2 linked regions of the Schizosaccharomyces pombe genome follow. Changing the gene in region 2 together with the main gene of any one other region gives a genetic interaction. Each region holds a gene or a part of one and is shown on either strand. Other genes may lie near its edges.

Evidence for each region. Genes that interact genetically often act in the same process or in processes that back each other up.
Region 1: mutations in rhn1 (region 2) and nup37 together harm fitness more than expected from each alone (negative genetic interaction), as found in Schizosaccharomyces pombe (2 studies listed by BioGRID).

Annotation. Positions count from the first base shown.
Region 1 is NC_003424.3:4,867,912-4,872,884, forward strand, and holds nup37 (nucleoporin), read left to right. Parts: upstream 1-2,432; 5' UTR 2,433-2,588; coding exon 2,589-2,614; exon of another isoform or gene 2,615-2,665; coding exon 2,666-2,742; exon of another isoform or gene 2,743-2,815; intron 2,816-2,911; coding exon 2,912-3,984; 3' UTR 3,985-4,115; downstream 4,116-4,973. Other genes in the region: SPOM_SPAC4F10.16C (P-type ATPase), read right to left, coding at 1-199; SPOM_SPAC4F10.17 (uncharacterized protein), read left to right, coding at 677-1,048; hit1 (HIT zinc finger domain-containing protein), read right to left, coding at 4,265-4,661, 4,775-4,842.
Region 2 is NC_003423.3:1,032,958-1,037,682, reverse strand, and holds rhn1 (RNA polymerase II transcription termination factor), read right to left. Parts: upstream 2,162-4,725; 5' UTR 2,146-2,161; coding exon 1,998-2,145; exon of another isoform or gene 1,950-1,997; coding exon 1,849-1,949; exon of another isoform or gene 1,781-1,848; coding exon 1,586-1,780; intron 1,539-1,585; coding exon 819-1,538; downstream 1-818. Other genes in the region: serine/threonine protein kinase Ppk27, read right to left, coding at 1-606.

The sequences.
Region 1 (4,973 bases), on a different chromosome or scaffold from region 2:
GTTGTTCCGCATGTGCTTCTTGTGAAAACTGGCTTTCGTGATGACGAGAAGAATAATCAGTTTGGTTTGTAGGTCCCTCATGAGCTAATGAGCCATTGTGCTGAGGTACATGGTGTAGATGATTAAAAGCACATATGGATAAGCCATGCAAAGAGGATTTCAATGAACTAATAGCATCAAAATTGATTAGGCTAGGCATCAAAGGGATCTACAATTCCTCAAATTCTTCCCAATCAGTTGCAGAATTACGAACGACTGCAACGTTCGACGATACCAATGACACAACTGGGAAATAAACAGAATTGATATCGCTTACGTACAGAATTAGTTCAATTAAGCTCAAAATTCGGCGTAGAGAAAGTCCTTTGAGGAGGCAAAATGGGTATGGCAAGATGATGTGTATTGATGTAATCCTTAAGTGCTGGGGTGTACTATATATACAGTGCAAAGGGTATGGGTAAAGTAAATAAACGATTTCTCAATAACAACAAATAAAGCATATTTATTGTTGTTTAATTTTTTTCGTCTTGAAAAAGAAAACAGAATTGGAAAATTGCTAAGGCACCATAAACAGATAAAGTATAACGTTTTAGTTCATACCCACTAGCGTTGGTAACTAAAACTTACACAAATTTTATATTTTTTGCTTTATTTTTTTTATCTTCATATTGTTAACATGGCGTTTCGTGCTGCAAGAATTGCTTTCGCTTGGAAGGCAACCAATCCTGCTAATACAACAATTCGTCAATATATAAAAGAAACACTGGAAGAAGCACCTGAGAAAATCAGTCAAACTGTCAAAAAAGCAACTGGTAAGGCTTCGAAAAAGATAGATGAAAACAAAGATAAGTCACCACAGGAAATGGCTGAGAATGCAAAGCAATCGGTAAAGCAAACTGCCAAGGATGCAAAAGATACCGACTATCAGCAAAAGGCGAAAGATGCTGGTAAGAAAATAAAAGAGGAATTTAGCCAACGGTCGGAAAACGTACTCGAAGAAACTCGTCGTGAGGGGATGAATCGTGATGGTGGTGTTAAAAAGGAATAAAGAGGATTCCTTGTAAATGAATCGAGTTAATGTATTGAGTGGAAGCTTGTATACAAGCTCCTTGATGCTCTTTATGATTTTAAAGATGCTTCACGTTTGAAAACATCGCTTTCTTTTTGGATTTATATGAACGAACAATGCATGATTTACAAAACGAAGCTAGAAGATTGTTAATAAACTAAAAATCATAGTTCAACGGTTCCTGGCTTTTATTTACAAAATAAATTCAATTTTTGATGATAGCAAAAAAAAAAAATTTCATGATTTAAATAAGAATGAGATTATCGCGAGATGTGTTAATTATATTCCGGTTGTATAGTCTGGTATTCGTGGCAGTGATACTGCATATTTTGCATTGCCGATGCTAGCCTTAGTATGGACTTGACTGTATGTAAAAACTTTATGGCCCACATGCTGTCAACAGCTACTATGGTCAAATTTAAATTTTGTTATTCTATAGGCCGGATAGTTGTATAAAGGCATTGTAATGGATAATGGTAATAATACTCATTTTGGTCAAACACATTCATGCCATTCTACTCCAGTAAATTCAATGCCGCTCGTTGTAAGCATAGCGATAAATCCCAAAGGCTGTTCAAAGCAATAATTTCAAATTTGTATTGCAACTTGCCAACATTTTTAAAGTAAATAAATTCCGTTATTGTACAGTGACATTCTCATGTTATATACGCTCTACAGTCAATAACATAATATCATTCACCAACATGATAGTACTCGATTGTATTATATTTTACTAGTCTTGAAGCAAGAATAGCCATAGCCCTTGGGTTTTTGAAGTTGCCAAGATTTCGGCTCAGAATGAAATGCCCAAGCTAAGATTTCCGAAGGTTTTTTCAAATTTTCAATATTTACTGCATTTACTCCCTCCACAAAATCTGGTTTATACGAGAAGATGTGACTGCTAAAATGATCATTATGCTATAAAAAACCCCATTTGTCGTTTACAATGCTTTACATTCGTTTTTATCCACACTATTCACAAGCCTGTGTCACGGTTTATGTAATTGGCTTGGGGAACGTGTTGGAAAGAATAAAACCGCTGTATACTTCATACGGAACGCAATTATTACTTTTCGTTCTGCAATAAATCAGTGGAATATCGTGTTGGTTTTTTTACATATAGTTTTATTTTGATGTATTTAGTAAACACTCTATTTGTTAATTGAATATAAGTTAAATTATTAAAAGATATTTAGTATAAGTACAAATTTTAGTAATTGCATTAAAATGGTTATATTTATCGTGTTTCATTATCTAAACTGCTTTGTATAGGTTTTCGTTTGATTTTTTGTAAATTAATGGTGGTAGTTTTGGCTCCGTAAGGTAGAACGTTTTCTTCAGCTTCATCCAATTCACGTAACCCACTAGTTACCTGCAACACCATATCACTAGAAAACGTGGCCGAAACTTCTCTTTTTCCATTTGTATATATAAATGCATTTTTAATTTCTTTATCTTTTTATTGTCTGCACAATAAAGCGTTCATTCTTTCCGTTTTTTTTGAAAACTATTTTTCGTCATGACTCTTTCCTCTAACCAGTATCAGTACGTTCAGCGTTATTTCGTTTATGTCTCTTTCTAACTTCTGTTTATTAGATTGCCTCTTAATGTCCGCCCGTATACAACGACTTGGTGTTCCCAGTCTCCTTCCTGTTCAAATCTTCTTGCCATAGGTATGTAAGATATCTGAATGTTACGACGAATGGTAATTTACGTATTACTCATTTCTTCTTTTCTGTTTTCCTAAGTTACAATATTTGAGAAAACCTCAGTGCTAATGAAACAATTATCTTCAAATAGCATTCCTCTAAACGTTTTAAACTAATGATTAACCTTATACAGGCCATGATACGGGTATCACTATTTATTGTGCTTCAGAAGAACAGACGCCCGGATCTACAGGTTTGACATTACAAGAGTTGTTCACTATTCAAACTGGGTTACCCACTTTGCATCTTTCTTTTTCATCTAGCTGTAGTTATTCTGAGAATTTGCATGATGGCGATGGAAATGTGAATTCCTCACCTGTGTATTCTTTGTTTCTTGCATGTGTGTGTCAGGATAATACAGTTCGTCTAATAATTACAAAGAATGAAACCATTATTACTCAACATGTGTTGGGCGGAAAATCTGGGCATCATAATTTTGTGAATGATATCGATATTGCAGACGTCTATTCCGCTGATAATCGTCTCGCTGAGCAGGTGATAGCATCTGTGGGCGACGATTGTACGTTGATTATATGGAGACTGACTGATGAAGGGCCTATTTTAGCTGGATACCCATTGTCTTCCCCTGGTATTAGTGTCCAATTTCGCCCATCTAATCCTAATCAATTGATTGTTGGAGAAAGGAATGGTAATATTAGGATTTTTGACTGGACTTTGAATTTATCAGCTGAAGAAAATTCTCAAACCGAGTTGGTTAAAAATCCATGGCTTTTGACTTTGAATACCCTGCCACTCGTTAACACCTGTCATAGTAGCGGCATTGCTTCCTCTTTAGCTAACGTTCGATGGATCGGAAGTGATGGAAGCGGTATACTTGCAATGTGTAAAAGTGGGGCTTGGCTTCGTTGGAATCTTTTTGCTAATAACGATTACAATGAAATCTCGGATTCCACTATGAAATTGGGACCCAAAAATCTACTGCCCAACGTGCAAGGCATTTCATTGTTCCCATCCTTGCTTGGTGCTTGCCCACATCCCCGTTACATGGATTACTTTGCTACGGCACATTCTCAGCACGGCTTAATACAGCTCATTAATACATATGAAAAGGACTCGAATTCAATTCCTATTCAATTAGGTATGCCCATCGTTGACTTTTGCTGGCACCAAGATGGATCACATCTTGCTATAGCTACGGAAGGATCTGTTTTGCTTACCAGATTGATGGGGTTTACGAGATTATGAGGGTATAGAACAATATACTTAACATCGAACTAAAATAAACGGGTTCAGGAGAGGAAATTGTATTGAATAAATATTAATGTTCATAGTTAAACCAAAAAGTAGTATTTGCTATGTATTAACATCGTGTAAACGCTGTTACTTTTAAAAATTTTAAATGGATGTGTTGCTTTCGTAAACAATTCGCCTTGGTTCAAATATCGCCTTTGATATTTCAACTTCCAATAACCGATATGCGATTTGAATTGAATCTTCTAAATGTTCGTTACAATGATAAAACCCATTATTTTTGAGCATAATATTTTTCCAGAATCATGGATGCCAGTTTTTCGAAAGATGGATTGTGTAGCCGCTGTTGCTGAATAGCATCTAAGGTTTTCAGAGGAACAGAACCCTCTTCCTCACGGTCAAGGTTCACTAATTCTTTCATTATATGTAAAAGCTCGGCATTACTTTCAATTAAATTTTTTATGCTAGGATCTTCGACAATAGATTCCAAAAGACTTTCACTTGGCAATGCCTCTTCTGCTAAACTTGGGATTCTTCCATTAACGTAGATAACATTAGGAGAAGGTTCTGGGGGGTTTAAAGGTTCTTTAACTCCTTTGAATGTTGTTGTGTTATTGTCATTTACAGTCTCACATTGACTTTGGTGGATTTTCCAGCAAGGTAATGAACAACTATTAATTCTATATTAGTATTTTTAGGAAACAGAAAAAAAGAATAAAGCATTGGTTCATGGGTTAATGTGTATTGAAACAAAATGCATTGTTCTGAGCTTACAAGCACATACTAAGGAAATGAACACTTCGGGCATTTATATTTTATTTCTGATTCGTTGCATATTGAACAAGTTGTCATGATAGCGTTTAAATTTTTCTAATGTATTAGAGGAGAAACCTTTTTTTTTAGACAAGCTCAAACAAAATAAGATTAAAGGGAGAAGAGCAATAGAGTAACGTCAAACCTTGCTAGTTCAAAATACAGTTAAC
Region 2 (4,725 bases):
ATCCGAATGATGTTTTTTAGTGTAATGATAGAGATCTCCTCCCATACAATAATTCTCTACGAGTATTAATTCGGCGGAGGAAACGTAGTAATTTAATAGCTGCACAACACATGGATGCGACAAAGTTTTGAGGGCCCAAATTTCTTGCCGAAATACTTTTACTCTAGCTTTTTTTTCGTTTTGAGACTTGGATGATAAGTGAGTATGTTTTAGGACGATGGAAGTATCAAACTTCTTATTATTAGATTTGACAAGCAGTACTTCCCTTTGTTCCGTAGAGGTGATTTTAGTATTTATAGACCACAAATATTTCTCATTCTCGTCTGAATATAAAGCATATCCTCTACTTCTGCCTAATTGAAGAGAATACAATGATTTTTTTTGTATATTAGTTAAGCCAAAAATTAAATCGGAAAAAGTCTCTAAATCTCTATTAAATGGAGCATAGTTAGAAATTTCTAGTTTAGTTAAATCGTTCGTCAATGATTCAGATATATCAGTCTCAGACGGAAGAGCTGAAATATTCGGATTTACATGACGAATTTTATTTGAAAGAGGATATAGTTGCAGCGATTTTTCTTCGCAAGAATGTTTTTTTTCAGACATTAAAAGCCCATTCTTCCTAGATAGGGCTCAACTTTCTTCGAAATATACAAAATTCCAAAAACGGCTTCGATAGGATGAAGTCAGGTACTGACGCATATAAAAGGTTAGGATAGGTATTCTAAAAATGCTTATTGACTAAGACTGCCACATTGATTGACAGTTTAAAAAAAAAAAGAAAAATAATGAAAACTAAGCATTACATTTCATGGATTTCAGCTATCACCATATAGACCAGCTGCACTAGAGTCGTCCGAAGAGGGAGAACTATCTTTTCCATAGATATCTGAGTCTTCTGGTAATTCTTTAGATTCCTCTTCATTTTCTTCTTTTCTCTGGCTTTTAAATAATGATGTTTCTTCTTCTTCTTGGGAATAGGGTCCACTGGCAGGAGGAGGAAGAGGAGAGAGATTGTCTTCAGATGGATTTTCGACAATATTGGAAGTATATGGTACGCTGTTAATGCTTGGAGAGTAAGAATCTACTTGAGGAGAATAAGCATCATCACTGTTTGGAGAACTAGACGGAGGTGATGTTGTTTCTACATTATGTTTGCCAGCAGTAGAACTTTTATCTCCAAAACCTGCATCGGTCAAGGTAGAGGTAGCTGTTGTACTTTCCTTATTCTCTAAATTAGAAATTATGGATTCAACAGATTTTAGGCTCTCTTCTTCCTCTGAAAGTAGCTTTTTTTGTTCTTCTATAAGCGATTCCAAGGAAGTAATGAGTGTGGATCGGGATTCGATGCAAGCCTGATAATTACCTTTACATGATTCAGAGGCTTTATTTAGTTGCTTTTTATAATTATCGAGTAGTTCAGAATAATCTGATTGTTTCTCCAAGTATGATTTATACAATGCATCTACCACAGTTTTGGTAGAGTGAGCAGATTTTGCGTATAAACTAGTTTGTGTCATTAAACGAGTGTAAGGTGCCTATGCAATTAGTAAAGTTCTGATATTTTATTTGAATTGCGGCATACCCATTCCGGAGGGCCAACGGGGTAATAGTTAGAATGGCCACTGTTCTCGGCATTATTAAACCTTTCCTGCAAGGATAAAAGTATCTCCTTAGAAAATATGCCGCGTTGACACCAAACGTCAAAAACGTATTTGATTTTTGTTTTAATGGAAGCAGGAACTGACGCGTACGCGTCAGCTACAGAGTTTACGACATACTATGCAAATATTATTAGAATCTAAACCATATAGGAGATGTTCCAAGCTCATAATGATAGTAACTTACTGGAGAAACGGCATCAATATATTCAGATATTTTTTTGACCCGGGATTGTTGAACGACTTCGTTGAGCAGGTAAAGCAATAAAAGCTTTTTGTTGGAAGAAGCTGGTTAAATTAGTTAGACAATCGAACAAATTCCTAAAGGAGTCATACATTCATACAAAGCTTCCAGCCATATTTGGACAATTTCATCAGCATAACGCTTGTGAAACATAACCCAATGCGCTATTCCCGTTATACTTTCTTGTGTTTCATTTAGAGTAGCCAACTTTGAAGAAACAGTGTCTGGAGTCAAAGCCATCTTGTTTTATGCTGATGGTGAGTTTCTTACGACACACTGCTGTTAGCATCGCAAACGAAATCATAAGCATAAGTAATAAATACTTCTTGTATAATATCAATGTTTTACATTATAGCCTATACTTAAAATGATTTTGAAACAACAGATTAATTAGTTTGGGTAGAGCAAAAATCTTCGTCTCATTTGTAAAGATGGAAAAGAACATTTATTATTCTCAAACTACCCAGTTTTCTCCAAGATTCCCTCTTAAATATTAGGTATATAAAATACATTATTCGTTTTCTCATGATTTTGTTTAGTCTCAGCAGGTCATCTTAGCTAACGGCTATCACTCACTGTAACATTTACAGTACGAGTTTTGGTAAGAATGCTAGACGAAATCTTGTGATGTTATATGTTGGGGATTATGAAAAGAAACTATTCGGCGTGTTGAGAAATGTGTACGGAGTGCAAATGTGTGTTTTAATGACTTGTCTGAAGCAGGAATTACTATATACTACTCACCGCATTGAGACTTTGTTTTTGCTTCCCTTGTATTACTATAAACTATGGCATATACTTACGTAAAAAATTATATAATAAACTAATTGTTCGTTTGAAATCGTATTTATTTGTCAACCGGGCAGGCAAAGCAGTAAAGATGTTCTGAAATTGAACGATAATACGAGTTTCAAAAAAAATAAAAAAATAAATGAATAAAGTAAAATAAATTAACTCCTAAGAACAAAGTTAAAACGGGATGACTAGTAGTAAGCAAAATTGTAAATAAAAAGTGCCGTAAGAATGTCAACGTATAAAACTAATGTTCATTTTCTGCCAATGATAGTCATTTCACCTTTCATAGTAGTTATTTCAACTTAATGGATGCAATCTCATTCTGCGTAGCGTCAAACTCAGAATTCATGTCGTTTCGCCAACACTCTATACCAGAAATATATCATTGAAGGACTTTTCAAGTCTTGTATTTGCTCATTCATCTATTCAACAATATAACCCATATATTAGAATACCAATCTCAATTGCTACTTATATATTACTTGCGAATTACAATATAATAGATCACTAGGAAAACACCGTAGTTCTACGTATCGTTAAATTAAATACTTGCGTAGCTAACATTATATCCTCTTAACGCATTTGTTGTAGCTATGGGTTATATTATTTACAATTAATAGCTTGAATGAGTAATATACCTTTTCTTTAAATATTTCGTGATTATTTAGAGCTGTTGAGAATCCCTTAAGAGGAATACAATAAAGCAGGATAAAGAAATGTTTTTCTATTAACTTTGTTATGCATGTTTGCAATCGAAGTTTGTTTTTAAACAAATACTCCTCTATTCAATAAATCTAACTTTGTAATAAGTTACCTGCAAATAAGCCATTTTTCTTTTATTTTACAGATAAAGCCCATTTTCATTATCTGTATCACGTACTCCCAGTGTGAAGTTACTTAGGTTACCTTGTTTCTTAATCCATCAAAAACTCTTTTCTTTGTCCTTAGCATTCTTTGTTTAAAGTTGTATATAAGGGGAACTTGAGAGATTTGAATTTACTTACAACACATATATTAAATATTGCTTTCAACACACGTTTGTACTTTTATTTTCCAAGATTTCCCTTTCTGAGAAATATTTGTCAATTAGTAAACATATAAGGCAGGCTACAAAAGATATCATTTGTATAGTTATAGTGAATTGAAATTTTATCGTTAAAAAGAATACTGCGGTTTATTGCAACTGGTTTTGTATAAATAATAAGGATGATGTCGAACGAGAATTTTGATAATGACTACAATCTGCCACCACCAAATGATTCTGCGGAAGATTTAAAAATTTTCATTGAAAGATACGAGAGATCTGTAGATTCTACATTGTTAGAAATTGACGAAAACAAAAGAGAAGCACTTGAAAAAAATATATTGAGGAATGAGATCGTAAAATGAAATATGAAATTGAATGCAATGAAAGGCTACAAGGATGGAAAAAGTTAGCGATTGAAAGGGAAATTTCTGAAGAACAATCGGGAGAAGTACAATTTCCACGCTGGATAGATGAATGGGCAAACACTAAACTAGGTGGAATTTTCGAACGAATATTTTCTAAAATGGACTCAATGCAAAATGACATGAATTCTCGGTTTGACGCTATGCAGAATGAGATGACATCTATGAAAGGCGAAATGGCCGAAATGAAAGTTGAAATGGTTGAAATGAAAAGGGAAACGATCCGTTTGAACACTAGAATTGATTTACTCGAACAAAAAACTGAAGCAAGGTTTCAGTCAATAGAGCAGCGATTTAATTCTATTGACCAACGATTTGACTCTATGGAGCAGCGACTTGACTCAATGGATCAGAAAATGGAAACAATTGATGCTCGCTCATGTAGGTCGATCATGTTGACAAGAAAGCTTGAAAATGCAACTCGTTCAGACCAAGGTTATTTGGCGTCACCAGTACCATTTCTGAATGGTAATGAGCCGGTTAGTAGTGGATTACCGCCGATAGAAAGAGTCGAAGACATTGACGAATTGTCAAAGGAACAGTGTGTCCAATATCTTAAGGGATACGGTATAACGT